2 linked regions of the Astyanax mexicanus genome follow. The protein of the gene in region 1 interacts with the protein of each later gene in a biochemical or structural test. Links are inferred from orthologs where the notes say so. Each region holds a gene or a part of one and is shown in the gene's direction. Other genes may lie near its edges.

Region 1 (7,961 bases):
TTGCCTTGGGTTTTTAATTGCTATGAAAGTAGGTTAACCGGGGGATAAATTATGGTCATAATGTAGAATGGATGAAGGGCTGGGGATGAGGAGGCTCTAACCTTGAACTGCTGATGTGCTTCATGCATCTGCTCAGAGAAATCCATTTCCCTGCCTCCTAGCAGTCTTCTCCCTCTACTCAAAACCCTTCCATCACCACATCACACACCTACATCATATCTTATACTGAACCTACAACATGGACAATGAGGCATGGAATGGAACATAAGCCCTGAAGATGAGCTCTGAGATGGATGTTCGTATGTTGGGGCAGTAAAAGTTCATCTACAGCAGCATCAGTGTAAAAGTTCCCATTGGAGCCAAGAAGAACATACTGTTTCTCCCACCAGCTCCAAATCTGCCCCCTCGTTTATAGTACTATATGACAGTTTCTACTAGTGGTTCGCTCTTACAACATACAGTATATCATGTCCCTAAAAATGACCTTCCTGCAGGTTCCTGCAACTTAAATCTAAGGGTGTTCTTACACCTGTAGTTAGTTTCTCAGATCCGGATCAGTTGATTAGTTAGTTTACTTGGGAGTTTGGTTTGTTTTCACACAGGTGCGTATACCTAAATGCGAAAGCTTGTTGTCTCTTTTGATTGGTCAGAGCTGTCTGGCGCAGGAGCAAGAAAGAAAATATATCTAGAAGGTTCTGTGTTCCACACTTGCATGTTTATGATTGTGAAGCTGCTTTAACACTTAAAATGCTTAAAGTTGAATACAGTTAATTTAATACAATTAGTACAGTTATTTTACAAAACCTTACATTTAGAATGGGACATCATGCTCCATCAGTACGTTAGTACTGCTTTATCCACTTTCATTGTAATGGTACAACCTTTCCATATATTTACTGTATATTTCATCCACTTCCACTGTTATGCTTCAGCCTTTTCCATCATTATGCTTCACCCATTTCATTGGTTACACTAGGATTAATTTCGTCTGAGTTCTGAGACATGCTACATTACTGTCTGAGTGCTTACACAGCAAAGATGAAGAAGCTGGAGAGTTTAAAGTATTCAACAGACCAAAATTATAGATCATAAATGATCATTCAGGGGAATAATCCATTCCGCCAGCACTACTGTCAATAATGTTCCAGCTCATGTTTTCCAGCTCTGTTTTCCAGCTCTTCATTTTTACATAATAATAAGCAGAGTTTACAGTTTATAGAACCCCTGCCTTCCTGCATCCAAAACATCCTGGCACAGGCGCCGCTGGCAGGGATGCGTGACGGGGTGGTAAAAGTTCTCTGTGCGAGTGATGACAGTTTGGGGGGGTTGTGGGGCAGACGACTGCTGTCCCTAGCAACAGTGTTAGAGCACAGGCGTCACTGGCGGTTATGCAACGCGCTAACACAGACGATCGTGGCCGGAGAGCGAGCTAGCCGTTCCATTGAAGGACTCAAAGAGCCCAACAGGGGTCTCCTCGACTCCACACAGAAATTTACACCCACACACAGACACACACACACACACACACACAGAGACACAGAGTTCACCCTGCTGCTGCTGCTGCCGCCGCCACTGCTATAAATAAAGCCAGTTTTCTCTTTGCGGAGGGATTTAGAGAAATGTTTCTGACTTTGAAAGCATGACCGATAGGCAGGGCAGAAAGTCTCAGAGAAGTTAAGGAGGACGAGGATCGCTCTCTCATCTAGAAAAGGCAGCTGGCTCGGGCAGCAGTGATCACACACACACACACTGCAATGTTTAGATCTTGGACCAGGCCCTGAGTCCATCACCGCACTGTAAACAGTCCCTTATTAAAGACTAGACTTGGCAAAGCAACTTTCCCTAATGTTCAGCAGTGTGTGGTTACCTAATTGGTCTTCCCGCAGACTGAAGCACAACATGCCACATACCATGTAGACTGGAGGACAAGGGCCAAACTTAGAAATCTGGTAAATTATTCCCAAGAATATGAGCCATTTATTGTGCTATAAGAACTAATACAGCCATTATTAATAATTTCCACATAACAGACCGCTAATTAAGCACCAATAACACTTACACAGAAGTGTTAAAGCCTTATAAGTAGTGAATAAATCATTTATAAATGTCTAATTAAGGCTTTATTAAGCAAATAATAAGACATTAGTAAGTGACTAATTTGTGTTCCTTAAAATAAAGTGCTACCGGAAATCTATCTACACACATAAGCCCTATCTGGATGGGATTACTCTTGTATCCAGACTGCAGTTGAAAAAACAGGAGTAATGGTGAGTTGTTTTGGCTTTCTCAGTCATGACACCATGTTCAGTAGCTCCTCCATTTCCACTCGCTGTTATGTTTTTTTTACATGGATCTCCGTGGAAACGTGCACCCAAAGTGTAATTACAGTGCATGGCAGTGGACAAATAGCTATTTTATTAAATGTGAAGAGACGAAACTAAAATTACCGAAGGACCACAGAGTTCAGCGACACACAGGTAATTCAGCCTGTAACTTTCTCAGAGAATGTCTGAGAAAAACACATGCATGGTCGTTCCGGACTGGAATAAATTAAATCACAGAGGATCCCCATTAAATATAGGGCTATATTATGTTTCACTTAATGTTGGTGGGATTGGTTTCTCAGGGGGACGTCTGTGAAAAATTTCACACTTCTACTCTACACTTTCTCAGTCATGACACCGCGTTCAGTAGCTCCTCCATTTTTACTCGCTGTTGTGTTTTTTTTGTACGAGGATCTCTGCAGAAACACGTGGCCAAATTGTAATTACAGTGCATGGCAATGGACAAATAGCAAATATTTTATTAAACGCGAGGAGACGAAACTCAGAGATTGCAGTCCGTACAAGACTATAATTACCGGAGGACCACGGAGTTCAGAGAATAACAGTAGGTAATTCAGCCTGTAATTTTCTCAGAGGACATCTGAGGAAAACACGTACATGGTCGTTCCAGACTGGAATAAATTAAATCACAGAGGACCCCCATAAAAGATTACCTCAGTTAATACCTGAGAAATGAATTCGGTCCAGATAGGGCTATATTAGGGGTGTGTTTCAAACTCAATGTTGGTGGGATTAGTTTCTCAGGGGGACATCTGTGAAAATTTTCACACTTCTACTCTACGACTGAAAAAACAGGAGGATCAGTGAGTTTTTTTTGGCTTTCTCAGTCACATGACACCGTGTTCAGTAGCTCCTTCATTTCCACTCGCTGTTGTGTTTTTTTACATGGATCTCCGTGGAAACGTGCACCCAAAGTGTAATTACAGTGCATGGCAGTGGACAAATAGCTATTTTATTAAACGTTAGGTGATGAAACTCCGGACAAGACTAAAATTACCGGAGGACCAAGGAGTTCAGTGAAAAACAGTATTTAATTCAGCCTGTAATTTTCTCAGAGGACGTCTGAGGAAAACACGTACATGGTCGCTCCGGACTGGAATAAAATCCCAGAGGACCCTAGATAAAAAAGAAAATGACACCAGGACCCTCTGAGAAACTAATCCCGTCCGGATAGGGCTATATGAGGGTGTGTTTCAAAATCATTTTTTAAATTCAAATCAGTCTTCATTCTTCTAAATGATCCAATATCGATTCATATAGAGGTGAGGGGAAGAATCCACACAAGGGAGCATAGTTCCTAATTTTTACAGCACTGAAAAAATCAAGGTGAGTGTAACAAAACAAACCAGAACACTATTATTAATTTAACATTGTAATTCCTGGCTCTAGCTGGTAGAGTGTAGAGTGGGTCAGTGGTGCACTATGGGATAGGAAGCCCTGTGGCCCCTTCTACCTGCGTCCTAAACACTCACACACACAGGCTGCCATCAGCAGAGCCAGAGAGCAGCTGCAGCTATAGGCCAGAAATTACAGACCAGCAGTTCTAAAATATGCTGAAGTTAGCATTAGCATTTTCCCAGAATGTTCTGTTCCACCTTTACCCCATTCCATCTTAAATTCCACCTTAAGCTGTTTGTGCAGAATACTATAAATTAATAGAAACTCGTATAATATTTAACATAAGTATAACTGATGCGATTAAAAGTAGTTATAGTAGGATATCTGCTAATTATGCATGACACTTTGAAACTAATGAAACTTTTGTCTGGTACTTTATATATACTTTTATATTATACTCATAAAGAAAATTTCTGAATGCTCACTATTTTTTTTTCTTTGGCTGAAGTAAAACATATACAAAGCCTTAGAATTAAAATAGAAATGATGATGCAATTTTAACAAACTTATTAAAAAAAACAATGAAGCCTAATGTGTCTGCATTTTTTATTATTGTTTTATGTTTTATTTGTTCATAATAACTAGTTATATACAGTAACAGTTAAAAGTTTGACCACACCTTCTCATTCAATTATTTTCTTTATCTCTTCATTTAATTTATTTTCTACATTGTAGATTAATATTAAAGACATAAAAAATAGTAAAAACACTTAAGGGGCACATATAAAATGATGTAGTAAACAAAAAAAGAATGTTTGACCTCAATTATTATGAACAATAATTTTAGAAAGTTTAGTCTGCACTTTAATTAAAATATATACAATTAAATCCATGATCAGACTCACATCAATACAATACTGAATTTACAATGTATAAAATCATAAAAAGAAAGAAAACACGTTGTAAATATTAAATATTTAGGGTAAATGTACACATAATGTATGGTTTTAAGAACTGTGTCGCCACCTTCTGGACAATCTATGGCTGTGCAAGTGAAGAAACTCTAAAACTTGACAAATAAGTATATTTTAAGTGTGTTGGCTCATTAAAAACAGCTTATATTCACATTGAAACAGTTTATTGGTGCAGTATTGAGTAATGCACTGCTCACTGTAAGCCGGTGCATAGTGCGGGGCTGCAGTGCTGGAGCGCAGCCGGCAGGGGGCGCGCGGGAACTGCTGGGTTTAAAGCGAAACCGCGGATAAAGGCAGTAAATCCGGCGTAGCGTGATCGCGTGCCCGCGGTCCTGCGCGCGGAGAGGAGCAGGGCCTCCGTTTTAACGATATTTGCGTGAAATTCGTCGATTTAGGAGCAACAGTGTGAACTTTTCTCCCGGCGGTGACGTAAAGCAGCGGCGGCGGCGACCGGCCAATCACATTCCAGCAGGCTGGCGGAGGTTACCCGGGAGATTCGCTGCGTAAGCCCGATCAGCGCGCGCTGTGTGTTTACCTGTTTATTGTTTATTTGCTGTAAAACTTCGCGTGTTTTGTCGTTTTCTGGCGGTTTATGGCGGATTTTAACTGATTTAGCGGAGTCTCTGTGTGTCAGGTTAAAGCTTAGCGCTGAAGTCGCTCTCAGCAGCGGCTCTGAACAGGTTGTTTTAGAGAAATAGTTTATATATGGATTATATTCACAGATTTTCTTAATTTTTCCTTCTCTTTTTCATCATTTTACAGCATTTCAGATCATTTTCCAGCTTATTTTTACGATATACGCGAATTTCAGACTGAGTTTTGCTTTAATCTGTTGTTTTATTGTTTCTATTTGCTATGGGTTTATAGCTGGAGGCATTCATTTGGAAAAGAAAAGTGCATTTAAGTTATTTTTTAAAAGTATACGTAATATGGAAAAGTACATGACATATTCCACCGAATCAGTGCCATTTCTGTGCCCAGGAAATAACATGTATACAGCTCTGGATAAAATTAAGAGACCACCTCAGTTTCTGAATCAGTCTAACCAATTTAGCTATTTATAGGTTTATGTTTGAATAAAATGGCTAAAATAACAAAAAAGATGCAGAGCTTTCAAACCTCAAATAATGCATAGAAAATAAGTTCATATTCATAAAGTTTTAAGAGTTCAGAAATCAATATTTGGTGCATTAACCCACATGTTTTCACGCATCTTGGCATCATGTTCTCCTCCACCAGTCTTACACACTGCTTTTGATAACTTTATGCTAGTTCTGGTGCAAACATTTAAGCAGTTCAGTTTGGTTTGATGGCTTGTGATCATCCGTCTTCCTCTTGATTATATTCCAGAGATTTTCAATTTGGTAAAATCAAAGAAACTCATAATTTATAAGTGGTTAAAGATTAGCAATCGTTTGAATGAACTGGAAAATATATACATTTAAGCTTTTATTTTATTGATAACAACTCTTAACATGATATTGGTGGCTGATAATGTGTGTAATAAAGTGTATTTTTGAATCGTTAAGCTTATTTATTTGTGGGACCGCGTCTTTGTCCGCACCGCCTATTGGAGACATGGTGTTTATTCACTTTGTCTATGGGATCCAGCGGCTCCCAGTGGTGTATAATGATATCGCATTTGTATTTGTATTTGGCTTGTAAGCGCTGCATTGTTGCTAGGTTACCAGTAATACATGGAGAGCTTTGGTTAAAGTGCATTACCGGCTGATAATGTCACTCATAAAACTCTTCTCAGCCAATCACACTGCAGGGTCGGAACTAACTGTGGTATAATTAATATTATATTATGTAAACTATTCAGTTCTCTGAATAAACTCTCTGAAGTTTCTAAAAGTCACAGTAATTGATTGAATCTGCCTCAGTTTAGTAATGCATTCCTTACCCAGAGCTCATCTTCTTGTCTTGATGAAGCATCAGTTCCACATTGTTTGGTGATGTATTCATATTACCGGCTGCAGGAGTGGAGAAAAACAGTTGCTCAGCAGTTGCATAAGCAGGACATTGTCTGATTTAATCAGGCCTGTGTTTGGATCAGGACTGGTGTCTAGTGGTGTGTTGTCCACAGTGTTCTGTTCAGAGTTGGACAGTAGTCTGTTGTATCAGTCTCTGAGTAGATATGTGGATAAAATATCAATATGTGTGAATAAACTCTTGGCACTGCAGAAATCAGTGCAGTTACAGGTATCAAATATTCCTGAATCTACTTGAAAATGCATTTATTAAAAGTCCATTCATACCTCAATGGAACTGCATTTATGTTTGAGTAGTCTTTAATTTTAAAACTTTAATTTTAACTTTCAGTACATTCAGTTCACGTCCATCCAATTGTTTGTGGACACCCCTCCTAATAAAAGCTTTTATTTAATTTAAATTAGACCCATTCCTGGCACAGATGTGCAAATGCACATACAATAAGAGACCACTTAAAAATGATGATTCTTTGATTTTGCCAAATTGAAAACCTCTGGAATATAATCAGGAGGAAGATGGATGATCACAAACCATCAAACCAAACTGAACTGCCTGAATTTTTGCACCAGAAGTAAAGACATAAAGTTATCCAAAAGCAGTGTGTAAGACTGGTGGAGGAGAACATGCCAAAATGCATAAAAACTGTGATAAAAAAACAGAGTTATTCCACCAAATATTGATTTCTGAACTCTTAAAACTTTATGAATATGAGGTCTGAAAGCTCTGTATCTTTTTTGTTATTTCAGCTATTTCTCATTTTCTGCTAATAAATGTTTTAAATGAGAGTATTTATATTTGGAATTTGGGAGAATTGCTGTCTGTAGTTTATAGAATAAAACAACAATGTTCACTTTACTCAAACATAAACCTATAAATAGCAAAATCAGAGAAACTGATTCAGAAACTGAAGTGGTCTTTTTGTTTTTTTTCCAAAGCTGTAGTTTTCAACTAATGCTTTTTTAATTCAGCTCTTTAATCACACAGTGGCATCGGTAGTGCACAAGTAGGGCCTAGGGATGTGGGGTCGATCTCTGTTTTGGTCACTATCTGTGAGAAAGTGTGTGTGCTGTCCCTGTATCTGCATGGGTTTCCTCTGAGTACTCCAGTTTCTTTGTGCCTACTTTGGTTTTTAAGAGTGTAATAATTACAGTGTATAAGCATGTGGTAAACCAATGGTAGAGTAGAAAGATTCTACTTTCTACTCTCTTAACTGTTGGTCAGGAAAATGTGTTCCCATTCATTACTCTGCAGTATAGATAGTAGAGGTTAAATACTTCTGTATCATCTTAAGCTTTTTACTTAAAAGTAA
Region 2 (7,231 bases), on another chromosome or scaffold:
CTGAACATCTCTGAATATCCTGGGTAACTATGCCTTTAAGATGAGTCTTCCTACTGTTAGCTTTGTCATGAAAGCTTAGAAGTGTCCCTTTGAAGTTTTGTCTTTGAACTTCTTATCAAAGTTACATCAAATGTGTGAAATGTAACATCTGATGAGTCAAGGGAAGATCAAAGAGCAGACGACCTTATCAGACAGTTCAGTGTATATTATATACTGTATATTATTTATCAGTATGGCACCCTCTATAGTATACCCTCTATAAGGGTGGACATATGCGCAAAGTCAGCTTATGGAACTGATTCCAGAAGGGTGGCACCTCAGCGGGCACACGGCAGCATGCAGCTTCTGTTTATTATGCATAAAACTGCAGGGTCTGCAGGTTCAGGTGTGTGTGTGTGTGTGTGTGGCAGTGGAGAAAGTCATTGCTCTCATCAAATTACATTTACTGCCAGCGAGTTGGTACTTGGTTGGCAGCTCCGGCTGTGAAAAGGATCATTTGCTGCACAGCGTCTGCAACGACTGTCCTCAGGAACTCAAAACACACACACACACACACACACACACACTGCAAGAAAACATTCAAAACACTGCGCAAACACTGGAGTGTGTTTATACCCAATGAACCCGCTTGGCAGTGTGGTAATGCCACATTACAGACACCCCAAAGTTAACGTTCAATACATTAGAAACTCTCGGCTGTGCTGTTATCTGGATACAGGCCTCGCTTCACAACCTTCACATTCCTGCTTACACTTACTGGCCATTTTACTGGAAACACCTACTCAACCTAGTGTCTTCACTCACTACATGGTCACTTTATTGCAAGACACCTACGTTACATTGTTCTTCCACTTACTATATGGCCAAGTTATTGGAAACACCTACTGGCCACCATAATTACAGACTGTAGTCCTGTATCTATTTCTGTCCATACCTTATTATTAACCTCTTGTCAATTATTAACCACCCTGTTCCCTAATGCTCAGGACCCTGATGCATAAGGTGTTAGTGTGTGTTGTGCTGACACAAATGGAACAAAAATACAGCAGTACTGTGTACTGTGGGCAATGTCCTGTGGGTGGCATTGTGTGGGTAGCATCCTGTGGGAACTGATGAAAAACTTGAGAATGAGCAACACAAACTTCTGTCTGTGTCTTTATTTTATCTAAAAGGTGAAGCAGCTGTAGGTAGGAGTGTGTAAAAGAGTGAGTGATTTAACACATTGTTTAAAACCTCTAGCAGCACTGCTGTATCTGATCCACTCATACCCAGACAACACACGCTAACACATCAGGCAGTCATAATATTATGCATGACTGGTGTGTGTGTGTGTGTGTGTTTGGACTGTCTGCAGGCTGGTTCAGTATTAATGAACTCGGGTCGGAATAATAGCGGGTCCGTTAGAATCCTCCTTCCAGACTAGAGGTCAACTTAGCCTCTGAATTCATCTCTTTAATTAGTACATGCCCTTGCCAGAACACACACACACACACACACACAATCACATGGCTGCTATTGATGGAGCTCTCCTGGGAAATCACAATCTCTCAGAGATTGTGTGTGTGTCTCTGTGTGTGTGTGTGAAGTGGCAGGCCAGGGCTTGTACATTACACCATACCCCTATTTTATTTTACAATATATGGCCAAAAGTACTGAATGGAACTCCACCCCTCTGAACTACACCTGATATTAAGCATGGTGCCAAAATCTTCATATTTAAACATTTATCTCCAGAGAGTCCTATTGTATTGGCAACAAGTTTCAATGACAGAGGCTAAACAAGCTGTGTGTGTGCATTTGCACATTTGTGTCAGCAGTCTGTGAAACTTTTGGTGACTTTTGCTGGAACCAAAACACTATGCTTGTCTTCAGTGTGAGTGGGTGGAACTAAACAGCTGTAGGCTGAATATGTCAATACGCATGCTGCATCAAAAACAGTGAATTACTGTAGAAATAAGCTTTTTAGCAGTTTAGAAATCATAGAACACATGCCAAAAGTAACGGGACAGTCATTTGTACAGGAACTAGATTGTGAAGTGGGAATGCATATAAACACCTGTTGTGAGGTCTTATAGCAAGTGCAGGTGAATTATGGGAGTTGGAGTGAGGTCTGATAGCAAGTGCAGGTGAATTATGGGAGTTGGAGTGAGGTCTGATAGTGGGTGCAGGTGAATTATGGGAGTTGGAATGAGGTCTGATAGTGGGTGCAGGTGAATTATGGGAGTTGGAGTGAGGTCTGATAGTGGGTGCAGGTGAATTATGGGAGTTGGAGTGAGGTCTGATATTGGGTGCTGATTAATTATGGGAGTTGGAGTGAGGTCTGATAGTGGGTGCAGGTGAATTATGGCAGTTAGAGTGAGGTCTGATAGTGGGTGCAGGTGAATTATGGGATTTGTAGTGAGGTCTGATAGTGGGTGCAGGTGAATTATGGGATTTGTAGTGAGGTCTGATAGTGGGTGCAGGTGAATTATGGGAGTTGGAGTGAGGTCTGATAGTGGGAGCAGGTGAATTATGGGAGTTGGAGTGAGGTCTGATAGTGGGAGCAGGTGAATTATGGGAGTTGGAGTGTGGTCTGATAGTGGGTGCAGGTGAATTATGGGAGTTGGAGTGAGGTCTGATAGTGGGTGCAGGTGAATTATGGGAGTTGGAGTGTGGTCTGATAGTGGGTGCAGGTGAATTATGGGAGTTGGAGTAAGGTTTAATATTGAGGTCCACATATCCCACGTGCCAGAGCAATGTTTTTTTAGCTTGCATTGAACATGTTAAAAATCACAGGACATGACAATAGTTTCTTTTCTATAACTTTGGCTTGTTCTTAGTTTTATATGGAATGTTTTTGGTAAAATGTGCATCATCTGAGCGAATACTGTTTTTTTTACTGACTATTTTCTGCCATTTGTTGCTGTTAGGAGCTGTTTTAGAGCTTCATCTGTCTGCTTCCATTCACCATTATAGTGAACTGTTCTAACAGGGGATGATTATCTAGAACCAAGCGTTCCATAACAAACCCTATGTTCACTTTGTTATTATAAAACTATGTGGAGAATTTTAAATTTGGTGAAGTTCCCCTTTAACACACACACACTTACTGTATGTCTCTCGAGGGGATGTCCTTGCTCGTCATTGTCCCAGTGCTCCGAGTGTATGTGTGTGTGTGTGTTAATTTCCACACTCTGAGGGCTGATCTCAGCTGTGAAAACCGTTGCCGTTCTCATCACGACTGAGCATCCAATCAGAACCAAGGACTTCATCCTGGTCCTTCTGATTGGGGGGATTCCAACAGGGAGAGAGAGCCAGAGAGGGAGAGGGAGAGCAGTGATGCTAACAATTAAACAGGCAAGAAATCCCCTTCATTACAGTAACTCTCTCTCTCTTCTTTTTCTCTTTATCTTTATCTCTCTTTATTTTCCCTACTTTCTCTGTTTCTCTTCATATTTTTCTTAATATGTTAGTTCTCATTTTTATCTTCTCTCTATCTCTTTCTTACTCTCTATTGTTACCCATTACCCATTGTTTCAAACATTCACACAATTTCTTTCTCCTTAATTTTTCTTTCATTCCTTTTTCTCTCCTCTCATCACTCTCTCTCTCTCTCTCTCTCTCTCTCTCATCACTCTCTCTCTCTCTCTCTTATTTCTTATTCCTGTCTCTCCAATCTTTCAGTTCTGACTCTCTTTAATTTTACACTAATTTTTCAATTGGTCACTCTCATTTCTATATTGTCTCTTATTTATTTCTCACTACTTCTTTCATTTCATATTTTTTTTTTCTTTCATTTCTTTTTTTCTCTTAATTTCTTTTTCTTTCACTTCTTGCCTCAGTCCTTGTCTGTCTCTGTTTCCTTTTTTCTTATTATTTTCTCCTTTTTTCATTTTCCCACTTTCTTAATCCTTATTTTTTATTTTATTTTCTTCTCATTTATCTCTCTTTTATTGTTGTACTACTTTGTCTCTTTGTCTCTTTTCTGATTTTTAATAATTTTCTTACTCTCTCTTTTCTCTCTCTCTTTCTCTCTCTCTCTATCAGTGGGATCACATTGTCAGGCACAAGCATCCCTGTGGGTTTCACAGATAATAACGTCAGCCTCTCTCTCTTTCTCTCTCTCTCTCTCTTACTCTCTCTCTCTCTCTCTCTCTCTCTCTCTCTCTCTCTCTCTCTCTCTTTCTCTCGCTCCACCACTCCCTGGTAAGGCTCCTCCTTCTGCGTCCCTCTCTTGCTCTCCTCCATCCCTCTCTCTCTCCACATCCTCCTTCGGGTCGGGGCGATCAACAGCGTCTCTGCAGCTGAAGGTAGGCGAGCGAGCTTGGTTCTGTTTCTGCTGCTTTGGGTTGGACAGAGATGCACTGGATCAGACACAACACACCCTTGGCATTTACACTGATTGGTGGCATCCCTGGCACACACACACACACACACACACACACACACACACACACACACACACACACACACAGATGCACACTCAGATATATGGCAGCTTGGTGGTATCGATGGAGATGCCAGTGTGAGCTGAGCAGGGTTTCCTTCTTCTGCTGTATATTAAACTGTGGAACTGGAACTGGAACTGCTTTGTATATACTTTATATTTATATATACTGTATGGGTATGTATATGTGTGTATATATACTATATAAAGGTGTGAGAGGATTGCACACAAACTAAAAAAAAGGAGGTGTGATCTCTAAAGTCGGATGAGTGGTGTTATATAAATGCATGTTAACAATGTGAATTTGAGGTATATATAAGTGAACAGAACACATCTCAAACAAGCAAACAAGATCAAAGGTTTCCTGAGCTTCTGAAGACACGGCTCATCCATCCTGCCTCCACTTTACACCTGTAACCCATCACATCCCACCTGTTCTCCGAGTGCTGAGGGTTCCCCCAGTATGTAAAACAGGTGGAGGCACTGAAGAGTGGGTGGAGGCTCTGGAGGAGAAAGCCTCTATAGAGTAGGGGAATGCTCAGGTTGGTGAACGCTCTGTAAATTGAGTAGGGATGGAGGCTCTTTAGAGTAGATGCAGGCTCTAGAAGGTAGAGCTTCTGTAGAGAGGGTGGAGGCTATGGTGGATTAAGGCTCTGATCAATAGGGGCTCAGTTAGGGGCAGGCTCAGGCAGGTGGAGGCATTGTAGAGCAAGTTGTGGGTTTGATGGGTAGAGGCTCTGATGGGTGGATGCTCAGGCAGGTGGAGGCTCTGCAGAGCAGGTGAAGGCTCTGGCGTGTAGATGCTTTGTAGTGCTGGTGTAAGCTTTAGAAGGTAGAGAATAGGTAGAAGCTCTGTTGATTGTATGCTCTCTGTAGTGGGTGCAGGCTCTGTGTAGTGAATGGAGGCTCTGTAGAGCAGGTGATGGCTCTGGTTTATGGGTTCTCTGTTATAGATGGAGGCTCTGGCGTGTAGAGGTTCCGGTGGAAGGAGGCTCTGTGTATTGGATAGAGGCTCTTGAGAGTGGGTGGAGGCTCTGGAGATTAAAGCCTCTATAGAGTAGGTGGATGCTCAGGTTGGTGGATGTTCTGTAAATTGGGTAGGGGCTTTGGCAGATGGAGGCTCTGAAGAGTGGGTGGAGACTCTGGAGGGTAAAGCCTATGAAAAGCCTAGGTAAAGAAGCTATGGTGAGTGGAGGGTCTCTGTAGTGGGTTGAGGCTCTGTTGGGTGGAGATAACTCTGTATTGTAGAGCTTGTGTTCTGTACAGTAAAGTTGTGAGTGGTATTAGTGAATATAGTAACTCTGTATTGTAGAGCTTCTGTTCTGTACAGTAAAGCTGTGAGTGGTATTAGTGAATATAGTAACTCTGTATTGTAGAGCTTGTGTTCTGTATAGTAAAGTTGTGAGTGGTATTAGTGAATATAGTAACTCTGTATTGTAGAGCTTGTGTTCTGTACAGTAAAGTTGTGAGTGGTATTAGTGAATATAGTAACTCTGTATTGTAGAGCTTGTGTTCTGTACAGTAAAGTTGTGAGTGGTATTAGTGAATATAGTAACTCTGTATTGTAGAGCTTGTGTTCTGTACAGTAAAGTTGTGAGTGGTATTAGTGAATATAGTAACTCTGTATTGTAGAGCTTGTGTTCTGTACAGTAAAGTTGTGAGTGGTATGAGTGAATATAGTAACTCTGTATTGTAGAGCTTGTGTTCTGTACAGTAAAGTTGTGAGTGGTATTAGTGAATATAGTAACTCTGTATTGTAGAGCTTGTGTTCTGTACAGTAAAGTTGTGAGTGGTATTAGTGAATATAGTAACTGTATTGTAGAGCTTGTGTTCTGTACAGTAAAGTTGTGAGTGGTGTTAGTGAATATAGTAACTCTGTATTGTAGAGCTTGTATTCTGTACAGTAAAGTTGTGAGTGGTATTAGTGAATATAGTAACTCTGTATTGTAGAGCTTGTATTCTGTACAGTAAAGTTGTGAGTGGTATTAGTGAATATAGTATCTCTGTATTGTAGAGCTTGTGTTCTGTACAGTAAAGTTGTGAGTGGTATTAGTGAATATAGTAACTCTGTATTGTAGAGCTTGTTAATGATAAAGGTTAGTAAAGTAATCTCTGGTTAATGTGGTTTTATCAGATATTGTTGAATGATGGTTCTTGAGGGATTGGAGATCACTAGAGTTCAGCTTGTGCTCTCACTGATTGCGTAAATGGTATAATGATATTATGGGCTGTAGAGGGAGAAATATGCACCGCTAGTATTGACCACTGCATACCGTTAACAACACCTTCTTTATGTTCTGAACTGGAAGATTAGTTTGTTTCTGGTTAAAGTCTTGCAGATTCTTAAGCTTTTTTTCTGCTTTAACATGTCAACTTTAAGAACTTACTATTCACTCGCTGCCTAATATATGCAAAACTGTTACAGGATCAATGCTATTTTGTTAAACTGGAAGTGGTTTTAATCTTATGGCTGATCAATGTATCATGGTTATGGTATGCCAAAGCCTGTGTTTGAGTCTGTTGAGCTGATCTGGCAAGCTGCCAGTCCAGTGGTCATTGGTCCCTATCTGTTCATGGCTGGTGGTCAGTGGCCGGTCTGCTAGTCCAGAGGGTCGGTACCACTCAGCTGGAACTTTGAGCTTATGCCCTTCAGCAGAGACCCAATTCTGGAATACATTAGCACTTAGAATAAGCACAGTGATGCCCGCTAAACCACACCATGGTGATCGGGCCAAAGCCAAGTTAATCATGTGCATCAGAGCATATTAACCACTGTAAAAACTCCTATTTAGCATTTAGCTTCAC

What was found.
Region 2: the proteins of ston2 (region 1) and syt1a form a complex in vitro, tested with the Homo sapiens proteins (2 studies listed by BioGRID). The link is inferred for Astyanax mexicanus from reciprocal best matches to the Homo sapiens genes STON2 and SYT1.

What each region holds. Positions count from the first base shown.
Region 1 is NC_064421.1:7,591,058-7,599,018, reverse strand, and holds the start of ston2 (stonin-2), read left to right. Parts: upstream 1-4,954; 5' UTR 4,955-5,182; intron 5,183-7,961. UniProt on the Homo sapiens protein: Adapter protein involved in endocytic machinery. Involved in the synaptic vesicle recycling. May facilitate clathrin-coated vesicle uncoating.
Region 2 is NC_064409.1:25,636,809-25,644,039, reverse strand, and holds the start of syt1a (synaptotagmin-1a), read left to right. Parts: upstream 1-4,220; 5' UTR 4,221-4,289; intron 4,290-7,231. UniProt on the Homo sapiens protein: Calcium sensor that participates in triggering neurotransmitter release at the synapse. May have a regulatory role in the membrane interactions during trafficking of synaptic vesicles at the active zone of the synapse.